Drosophila melanogaster: one gene and its partners. The protein of the gene in region 3 interacts with the protein of the main gene of each other region in a pairwise test. Each region holds a gene or a part of one and is shown on either strand. Other genes may lie near its edges. The genes, in order: Nmda1, CG13047 and CG11581.

Evidence for each region.
Region 1: the proteins of CG11581 (region 3) and Nmda1 interact in a two-hybrid assay, tested with the Drosophila melanogaster proteins (one large-scale study listed by BioGRID).
Region 2: the proteins of CG11581 (region 3) and CG13047 interact in a two-hybrid assay, tested with the Drosophila melanogaster proteins (one large-scale study listed by BioGRID).

What each region holds. Positions count from the first base shown.
Region 1 is NT_033778.4:12,878,042-12,881,798, forward strand, and holds the start of Nmda1 (N-methyl-D-aspartate receptor-associated protein), read right to left. Parts: upstream 1,758-3,757; 5' UTR 1,648-1,757; intron 1,616-1,647; exon of another isoform or gene 1,407-1,615; intron 1,333-1,406; exon of another isoform or gene 1,163-1,332; coding exon of another isoform or gene 1,156-1,162; exon of another isoform or gene 1,106-1,155; 5' UTR 1,051-1,105; coding exon 1,011-1,050; exon of another isoform or gene 686-1,010; coding exon of another isoform or gene 670-685; coding exon 344-669; intron 281-343; coding exon 32-280; intron 1-31. Other genes in the region: AspRS (Aspartyl-tRNA synthetase), read left to right, coding at 2,749-2,829, 2,909-3,234, 3,467-3,757.
Region 2 is NT_037436.4:16,284,134-16,287,507, forward strand, and holds CG13047 (uncharacterized protein), read right to left. Parts: upstream 1,264-3,374; 5' UTR 1,223-1,263; coding exon 1,211-1,222; intron 1,133-1,210; coding exon 632-1,132; 3' UTR 547-631; downstream 1-546.
Region 3 is NC_004354.4:14,175,089-14,178,845, reverse strand, and holds CG11581 (uncharacterized protein), read right to left. Parts: upstream 1,924-3,757; 5' UTR 1,900-1,923; coding exon 895-1,899; 3' UTR 390-894; downstream 1-389. Other genes in the region: CG1368 (uncharacterized protein), read right to left, coding at 3,318-3,757.

The DNA of each region.
Region 1 (3,757 bases), on a different chromosome or scaffold from region 3:
CTACATATCGTAATTAAATCGAAGTACTCACCTCTTTCGGAGCATATTTGGTTGCGGAAACTCCCATTAAGAACGACTGAGCTGCTGTAAACAGACCCAAGAATATGAAGTTCGTCGGTGTTTGGCGGCGCACACTTTCGCAGCAAGCCATAGACAGCATGGTTACTAACATTACGCCGAGGGCAACCCAAAAGAGCCACATGTTATTCCTGGCAAAGGTTTTAGTGCCCTCGTGGTATACAAACAGGGCAACAGCTCCAAAAGTGACGATTAGTTGTCCCTAATGACACAGAAATGATAACTTATTGTACATGCCTTCTATGCAGAATTATCTAAAGCTCACCATTAGAATCAGGTACACCTTACGTATGAATCCGCGACGGATGCTTTGGTCGTCAAACGAGAAGTTCTTGGGCTGGCTCTCCGGATCATCGTAGGCTCCGTAGCCGCCAGCAGATGGTGGTGGTTGGATAAATCCCGGCTGGGGAGCATAACCTCCCGGTGGAGGCCCCTGTCCGTAGGGCTGTGGATAGGGTTGAGCACCTCCTTGTGCATAGGGTGGGTAGCCTTGCGGCGGTCCTTGAGGTGGATAGCCGCCCTGAGGTGGATATCCACCATATCCTCCCTGCGGGGGATTACCGCCGCCATAGTTGTACTGCTGGTTGGGATCTGCGAAATAAGACATCTCGTTTTAGTTTGTCATCTAAAACGGTGCTACCAACGCGTTCGCTACAGCAATCTGTCTACCAAGAACTGTAAAATCTAAATGAAACGCTTCGCCGTGACGAAGAGATGCGGTAAACCAAGAAACAATCTCGAGCAAATATGTACATACAACCATGATAAGAAGGGACAAGTACGATGTGTAAAGAGAGAGAGGTAATGGAAATGAATCAGCTCTGGGCAATTACTGAGCATTCAACGGGTCGACAAGCCCCGGGACGAACAAAAGCATGCGATCAGAAAACGGGTAAGCTGTAACACTCGCTTAGAAGTTAAGAAGATTGAACCTTGGTATTGGGGATACTGGGGAACACTTTGCCAGGACATTCTCGAGGGACTTCGCTCTGATTTCTATGTAATTCCGAAACCGCTGTGGAGTAAACTTAGATCCAAAAAGAATGTGTTAGTACGGCTTGTCCTTATTCCACTCACCTTGCATTGTTTCGTTGTTGTTTTACCTGCAAAGACACGATGATAAGCAATCATTAGCTAATTTAATTAGTGTCTAAGAAATGTGCACACCTTTGGTGGCATGCAACTTTAATTATCAATCAATTTGCCACTATAGTAATGCCTGAGAAACTTCGGCACCGTTTCGTTTGTTGTGGCCCCCATGACGTGTACCTCTCAAGCTTTCTTGTGTGGGTTCTCTGAAAATAGCTGGGGCCATTTATGAACCTTACCTACACGCTGAACTGCGAGCTTAAGCGCTTTAACGTAGTCGCAGCTATTAAATTAGTTCAGCCGGAGCACCACCAGCGCAAATAATACATACACAGCAGCTCGGTGTAGGAAAAGTGGTGACTCACTTTTGGAAATTGCCAGCTTCTCGAAATTACCGGGAAACCACACTATTATAATTTTCTTTGACGTGACCTACTATCTTCCCATTATTCAAATTATGCTCTTTGGATGACTAATTACCTCTGGATTACGTTGCTATTTGATCAAAACAAACAATTGAATGTTGTTTTTCTGAATATTTGTTTTTTTTTTTTGCTATAAATTAACAGAGATGTGCCTGCTGACTGCTATCGGAACGCAGCTGTAATTATCGATGGTGGTGTAACTAATTTTTTTAGAAAGTGGTACATTTACAGACTACATTAAACTCGGCTTAAACATTATTGCGTTTAAATTTTATTTGACACGTACCACACTATGGCGCATTTTCTGTAAATTATATACTATCGTTTATATATGTTTAAAACATACAGAGTATTGTAATTAAACTAAGAATGCTTCACCAGATGTTGAGAAATGCTACAGATGCTTTTGTTTTTTAAGCTTCTCAACTACGGCACTTCTGTAGATTTTCTTATGCTCATTATTTTTGAGATTATTCTGCACTTACTAACTCTTATACTATACTATACTCCTTATTTACTAATATTATTTTTCAGCACTAGCTAAGCGCAACTTAATTCATAGGATGCTGGACATGTGACGTCACAAAATCAGAAATGCGCCACCCTGAAGCACACATGGAACAATCGATATATATCGATAGCCGCGATAGAAATCCTCTAGACTGCACCGCGCTGGTGGCATGTGCAATAGTACACGACGCTCGTGAAATCAATTCGTTTGTGTATTAAAAGGGCAAGATCTAGCTGGTAAGTCGAGTGCACTCGAATGCACCATTGAAATAACCAATAGGGGAAGAGACAGGAAGTGAATAGAATCGGTAAATGATCAGATAAAAGACCGCAAAGTTTAGGTTATGTGCGAGCCGCTAGACAAAGAGTGTTTCTCTGTCCCCGGAAATATTTGTGGACATATGGCTATTGGAGGAGGAGACTGGGTGACTGAACTGCAGTCCGGAAGACAATATCACTTATTCGCAAATGGGGCACTTCATCAGCCAAGTGCTATTTATAAAACCATGACGCAACGCACACAATACTCCTCCTTTTTCGCCTGTTGCTCGCTTATCGAAACTGTGTGGTCTACGTTCTGGTTTTGTGACCCTCTTGTAAAATATACAACCCTCCCTTCCTTACAGCCGTTTTTGTGCATTCCAAGATGGTCGAGGACAAAGAGCAAGTGGCCAACGGGGAGCAGGTCTCCAAGAAGGGAGCCAAAAAGCTGGCCAAGGCCGCTAAGGTGAGAATCTTTGTTTTGGGGACGTGGCGTTTTGTTTTTCTTGAACCTCTGATAACAGCTTTAATCTCTATGTGTACAGAAAGCCGAACAAAAAGCGGAGAACGCCTCCACCGCGGCGGCCAATAACGCTGGTGGCGATTCTGCGGAGGATCACGCCGCCGGAAGATATGGCCTCTCGGAAATGATCCAATCCAAGGACAAACGCAGTGAACGCAACTTTGTCCCGGTTTCGGAACTAAGCGGTCAGGTGGGCAAAGGACTGGTCTGGGTGCGAGGACGCGTCCACACTTCGAGAGCCAAGGGAAAGCAGTGCTTCCTCATCCTGCGCCAGCAGAGCAGCACGGTGCAGTGCATCCTGGCTGTCGGTGATGTTATCTCCAAACAGATGGTCAAATTTGCGGGAAAGTAAGTTATAAATATTCCCTCGTATATCTTAAGTTTATCTTAAGAGCCGTAACCCAAAAAAGCACAATATCGAATTTGAATTGCGCAGGCCATATAGATATTTTCATCATACTTTGATAAGATATCGTGAAATCAATTAAAGGTTTATGAAATGATAAACATTGCTTAGAATTTTTGTTGTTGCAAATTTAATAATTCATTTAATAATTCAAAAACGTCTTTATTTTTTCAGTATCCCTAAGGAGAGCATTATTGATATCCAGGCCAAGCCAGTGGCGGTGTCTAGCAAGATTGAATCCTGCACAGAGCAGTCGCTGGAATTGTCCGTCGAGCAGATATTCGTAATATCCCAGGCCAAGGCACAGTTGCCATTGCAAATCGAGGATGCATCGCGTCCCGAGAACGCCGATGATGCGGAAGGTCTGAATATTCGCGTGAACCAGGACACGCGCTTGGACAACCGAGTGCTCGACCTGAGGACCCCGGCAAATCAGGCCATTTTCCGACTGGAAGCCGGAGTATG
Region 2 (3,374 bases), on a different chromosome or scaffold from region 3:
CACAACAAATATTGTTTACATGGTGACCAAGTTGTCTGACTTTAACTTCCCTAAGTCCCTAACTTATGTATGTTGCTACTTTGTCAATATTATCTTTAAAATTCAATGCAGCTGTTAGAAAAAATTCCATTAAAAATTAAATGCAGACCTATAATTTATGCATAATTTGTATTAAATGATATCCACCAATAAACAAGCTTATTTTGCATATCAAAGAAATGAGTGAGAAACGAGAAATTCAGAGCATTAAATGGAAAGTTCTAAAGTTTCTAAAAAAAAATTAAATAACTTCCTCTATCTGAAATCTGGAAATATATGGATGCTTAATAAAACCACTTGCACAAAAGGAATCATCTAATCAAAAATTGATCATAGTTAAGTAAAGAAGTTATTTTATATTTTCTTAAGAAATATATATATATTGACCCAATCGAAATGAGCGTCCAATTGAATTTTCATGAACCAAAAATATCCGATAAATAATAGTACTTTCGTTTTTCGTTAATTATTCAAGGCATTTCTGCAAATAATAAGATGGTGCGCTCTAATTGTTGGTTCGTAATTTATTATCAGTTTTTTTTTTTGTTTATCAAAAATTTCCTATAGTTTGGCCTGCTTCACAGGTGTGTCCTTAGACCACCACTGGAGCTGGAGCAGCAGCGGCGATGGGAGCAGCATAGGATGCAGCGTAGGGAGCGGCGTAGGGAGATGCCAGGTAGGGTGCAGCGTAGGGCGAGGCATAGGGATAGGCGGAGTAGGCAGCGGCGGCATAGGGAGCAGCGGCCAGAGGAGCAGCAACGGGAGCAGCGGCCAGAGGAGCAGCGACGGGAGCAGCCAGAGGAGCAGAGTAGGCGGCGGCCAGAGGAGCAGCAGCGTACTTGGCCACCACGGCGGGGGCAGCTGGGATTCCGGACACATAGCGGCTGGAGTAGGGGCCGGCGAACTCGAACGGAGCGGTGGTGTAGGAGGACAGGGTGCCGTCGTAGTTGTTGCGGACATCCACCTGGCTGCTGCCACCTGCGGCGTACAGAGGAGCATTAGCGTAGGCCAGGGGAGCAGCCAGAGGAGCAGCCAGTGGAGCTACAACTCCTGGTTTGGCCGCAGAGCAGGCGATGAGGGCAGCGAGAACCAACTGGAAAATAGGATAGGTAATCATTAACCACCTCTTAGTCCACATTGTTTGGGCGCTAATCCCCATAGGATCACTTACAAACTTGTACATATTGCTGTGGTTGGGTTTGTCTAAAGCACTTGAGCGATAATGTTCATTTGGAGCCAGACCAGTGGCTTATATAGCTCGTGCCCATATCCGTGCTCTTTGGGGGACATTCTGTCTGAGCCGATTTTTGGTCGCTTCTTCATTAGCTGGCCCACCTGGTCGAGTGCCAAGTAGCATACATGATCGCCATTTGGCCAAGACGTGCTCCGCCTTCAATTGCCCAATGGACTGTCGGAAGTTGTCCAAGTTGTCGCTTGAATATTTCGGTTGCACTTGGAAAAATATTTGAGCTTTGGTAAATATTATAAGAAAAGATATGATATAATTCTGATTTCAATGTATAAATATTTTATTTAAAATTTTTAACCTTAACTATTTAGTGCAGTGTATTTACATGCAGAGGTAAACTTTTTGTATAGCATACCAAGTTATAGTCTTTATAAAAATTTTTCCAAGTGCAGTGATCGACATTTGTATGCAATTGAAGACTGACTCGGTGGCCGGGCTGTCTTGTCGTAATTTGCAGTCTGTTTGGGCCATCAATGTGCGCCGCTTCGCATTGAATTGGCCGCAATCTAAGTCAAATTGGCCATAAAAATGGTACCCCTTCCTCAAAGGCCACGATTCCGGCCCACTAAGTGTCTCATTAGTTCACTTTTTAATGGCTTGCAGAGACGCCAATAAAAGGCGGTCGTAAATTTCCCTCTCATCCTAGCCGACGGGTCTTCATTTGTTTTCGTGTTGACCTGACCTTGACGCCACCTGGCCACAGGATGTGATGCACCCTCATCCTCATCCAGTGGGTCTCATCAATTCGCTTCAGCTTAATTGGCCAACAAGGCGCGGGGCCGAATGATCGAGCAGTCGAAACCTGCTTGCTAGCTGACTTAATGAGCCATCTCTCTCGGTCTCTCTCGGTCACGTGCTGGCCTGGTCAGCAGCATCGTCGTCATCTGATGGCTTGGTGTCTGCGATTTGCATTGTTTTACTCTTTATGATCGGGTACTTTTGCTACTTATGAATGTTTGTAAATTAGCATATTTTAGTGTCAATGACTTGGTAGAACAACCCATTAGGAGCATGATTTCAAAGAGCGAGTTTATGAAAAATCGAAGTTTTTCTGTAGTACAGTCACAAAATATTATACTCATACCGCTTACTAACAAATCGTATAGAGTATCTAAATGGTCGTTATTTTATAGCTGCTTCTGAAATCCGATACGATGATGACGCCGGTCTCAAGGTTGTCGCGATGACGAGTCGAGAGGGCGATATATATATATGTATATAAATGATATCTGGTGATCAAGTTGCCCCACGCATGTAACTGTATACTTTTCCATATATTCTGTATTCTGTATCCGCATTGTGGCCACTTTTGATCGGATTGATCCAATCTTGGCAGCAACCACAGCTAGTACATTCCAACTCCAAGGGTGACCTCTTCTCGTTCACTTGTTCACAATTTCTGGACAGGAATTCTCAACCGATGACGCGCCAATTTTCCGGTGACTCAAGCACGGAAATGAGTACATCTTTAACCATCTTCATCTTCATCTTCATAGACCATCGCCATCAACTTCTTGTCTTCAGCACTCCACTTCACAGCTGTGCGATCCGCTCACTTCCTAGTTAACCTTTTAAATTTATTTGCAATCTGATTTAGAGGCTCATCAGAAGCTTTATCCCTCTTAGGAATTGTTTGGCTGTCGTCAGTACCGTTTGCTTTAATTGATTTTTAAGCCCCAAATTTATGCAGACCATATTTCTAATTCCCGTTTTTGTTTTCGCGGGAAGCAGGTTCTATACGGCAGGCATAAATATGTCTAGATATATAGATAGATCCAGATCCCAGTTCCCAGTTCCGTTCCCAGATCTGATCAATGACACTTGACTTTAATTGGCTTTCATAAATATACGTCAAAAGTTAGTCGTTGTCTCGATTTCTTTTGTTTTCACAAGAGAATTCCGAATGCCAATGCCAAGTTTGAGGTCTCATTATGAGGCGCGGATGGAGATGGAGATCTCTTGGCCCGATTTGTGTGTATGTAAATAGCAACCATTAACCCATCGTAGGAGAGTGAAAGGTGTAAATCCAATGGACGAAGACCTCTTTTTTTTTTGTGTGTGCCCGCGTATTAACCTTCAAAACATT
Region 3 (3,757 bases):
GAAAAATCCCCTTTTCGATAACCATCTTAAGTTCACGAAAAGAAGTTCATTATCATAAATGTATGTATGTTCTTTAGGGGAAACTCTTTGACGTCAGAAACTAGTTTGGCAAATTAAAAAAAAAAAAAAAAATATCGCGAAGCTAAAATTAACTCAGAAGGTTCTTTGAATTTCGCTGAAATTAACTTAAATCGATTAAGTTTGCCCTTTAGGTGGGCAGCTTCTTTCTCTACCTCTTTTCTGTGACGTCAATTCAAAATTTATACATGTAAGACAATCATTTGAATTTATTCGTTTTTAAGTTGGATTTATTTTAGAATATGAAATGATAAACATAAATCCATTTTTAATGATCCATTGTTGTTGCATGATAAACTATTACTGCTTTTAAGTTGTGGATGTTTTTTTTTTTAATTCTTGTACCATTTTGTTTAAACTTAATTCCATCCAGAAACATATCAGAGTTCAATAAACCTTGATGGTGAATGTGCATAATTATCGTAGGACTTCGGTTTTAGTCCACACCCAAACCACTAATCGTGTTTTTTATTTCAGCCTTTAATCGCCTTGTATTGACTTTTGAAGACAACATAGTTTATGAACACATATGTGTCTGGCCAGGGTATGCATAAAACATAGGTCTGTCTATATATATGTATCAATCACGACGATAGATTGTCTCGTTTATGGTTATCAGTCAGTTTTGGCAAAGATTTCGATTAGCATAGAGACAATCGTTTTGTCTGTCCGCATCTTTATGGCCAGCAGATCAAATAAATGAATAAAAACAAAGGCACAAAAAATACAAGAAAAAAAAAAAACAAAATATGGATCATAATTTATGGCGAACATGTTTGATGAACTCCCCAATTTGGGGCTTCGAAAGCCATCGCATTACTTGGCCCTCTTGTAGACATAGCCGCCATTGGATGCGTAAACCGTATCCGCCACACTCTTGGGATCGTCGGCCGATGGTGGTGCCACTACTGTCCTCTCACTGTCCTTTGGTTGCTCCTTCGCCGGCTCATCGGAGTAGCCCGGCGGAGCGGGTCCTCCGAAACCGGGTCCAAATTGTTGGTAGGGATTCTGGCCGGGCACAGGTCCGCCGAATCCTGCGGGCACATTGAATCCTGCTGGACTGGGTCCTTGGAAGGGACCCTGGGGATTTGTGAGGGGAAGTCCCTGGTTTGTCAAGAACTCCGGTGGATATGCGGATCCTGGGAAGGGCCCTCCCTGTGGCGGGAAGTTACCTCCTAGGAAACCATTGCCCGGTATTCCCTGTGGCCCGAAGGCACCTCCTTGTGATGGGAACACTCCCTGCTGTGGTGAGAAGGGAGCTCCTTGCGTTGGGAATCCATTGCCAGGGATGCCTTGTGGCTGGAAGCCAGCTCCTTGTGGGGGAAACCCACCTGCCTGCGGGAAACCACCTGGCTGGGCAAAATTACCAGCTTGCGGACCGAAAGGACCACCTGGTGGCAGTTGGAAGGCCGCATTCGTAGGACCCCCTGCGAATGCGCCTCCATTGGTAGGACCCGCCGGGAATGCACCTCCGTTGGGATAGGCCGAAGGCACTGGCCCAATACCATGTCCTCCTCCCTGCTCGACAGGACCTCCGCCGAAGCCGTAGAATGGTGGATAGATGGGCAGAGGGAAGTTTGGCGGCTGGACAGGCTGTGGCAAAACGTTGCTGCCCGTGGGAATGGCATAGCCCGGCGGCAGTGGCAGTCCAGTCGATGGATAGAATCCAGATGGATCCTTCTGCACCTCCTGGCCATCAGCAGCAGACCGTGTGGTTGGCTCCAGTTCCGCACTGGGCGGTATATATTCCCTGGGCAGGTGACTCACATCTCCGTTGATCAGGGGCAGAAGTAGGACCACAACGGCCCATGGCTGCATCATCTCGAGCTCCGGTTTGATCTCTGGGAACTTGCACGGCGACGGTGGCTATGCGGCCACGGGCCCCAAATCCGCCATATATAAGACGGCATATCAACATATTACATAAATTCGCGGCCGGCTCATTTCACTTTCGCATTCGGCGAACGGAAATTGCTTTGCATCATCACAAAGGTTCCATAAATAATCGCCAATCCAAAGGTGATCGAAGGTGCGAGGGGAGGTGCCAAAACTGAACTATAAAATTTAATTTAGCGGCCGGATTTTACATAAATAAACTAACGCCGAAATCGAATGTTAAATTCAGCATCGCACAAAGAAAAGAGGCGATAATGAAAAAGATTCAATAAACGAAAAGAAAGAACAATGAAAGGGTAACATTTTATTTGATTTAGATTCAAGTTCTTGCTCAGCTTTATGATGAATATTAAATTTTAAAAATTACTACCTGAAAGCAAAAGGGTGTTAATTAAAAACAGGAAAAACGTCGAGGAGGTTCGTTTTATTTACTGTAATATACTAAATAATGGTTTTGAATGATTTCAAAAAGTCTTGAGTAAATAATTTTTCAGAAATGCCAAGCACTCTCAGAAAATGTATCTGCAAGTCATAGTTTTGAAATACTCAAAAGCTTAGTGTTAAAACTAGGAAAACCATAAAGTTTCATGCTATATTTAAACTAAAAGCTCTTTGAAAATGCTTAAAATAGTCGCAGCTTCCAAGTTTAATCAAAGCTGCAAGCTGTTTATAAAAAGCCCAACTTAATTAAAGCTTTATATTATATTTTTTAACGCTAATACTTAGTTAAAACATTGATGTATGTTAAATGTTTATGTTCTTGTCCTACAGGTTTTAGTGTTAACTAGTCGAAGAATTAAGCTTTTTAATTTTGAAAATTACCATTATAGACTAATGCCAATAAATCTTCTTTACTTTGTATGGACATATCATTCGTATACTTTATTATATTTTTATTGGCTTATAAAGTGCCACCTTTTGTCTACTCTGAAGTATTAAGCACCAACAAGCACTTGCTTTTGACGTTCGATTTTGAAAACGAACCGCACTCAAACCGCATCAAAACCGCAACAAAACCGCACCTAAACCGCAACCAAACCGCACTCAAGTCGCGCGTGGTTTTTAGTACGCTATTTTGGTATCCTGGTCCGGAATTTTGATATAAAGTGAATAGGGATACACTTGTTAAAAATTTTATTAATATTAATATTAGACGCTTGTTTTTATAACTCTGAAACCCATTTTAAAAACAAAAGTATTTATTTGGATTATTGATGTTTCGGTTTATTTCGTTGTAAACAAAAGTTTACAAAACAAAAAAAAAAAATATATGGTTAATTTGGGCAGTATGTAGTTATGGACACTGTTTCGTGTTCAGTTGCAGGCCTCTTCGTTGAAGATCCCTACTTCCTGTAGACGTAGCCACCGTTGGAGGCGTACTGGGTGCCCACATCCACGGAGGGTGCAGAGTAGCTCACCGATGGGGCGGAGTAGCTGACGGCAGGAGCGGAGTACGACTGCTGGACAGCAGGGGCGGAGTAGCTGACCGATGGAGCGGAGTACGACTGCTGGACAGCAGGGGCGGAGTAGCTGACCGATGGAGCGGAGTACGACTGCTGGACAGCAGGAGCGGAGTAGCTGACCGATGGAGCCGAGTAGCTCACAGAGGGTGCCGAGTAGCTAACAGAGGGGGCGGAGTAGGTCCTCTGGACAGCTGGTGCGGAGTAGGTCCTCTGGACGGCCGGTGCGGAGTAGGTCTGCACAGGAGGCAGGTACTCGTTGCTGGGGGCGACATACGACTGCTGGATGGCTGGAGCGGCGTAGGTCTGCTGCACGGCTGGTG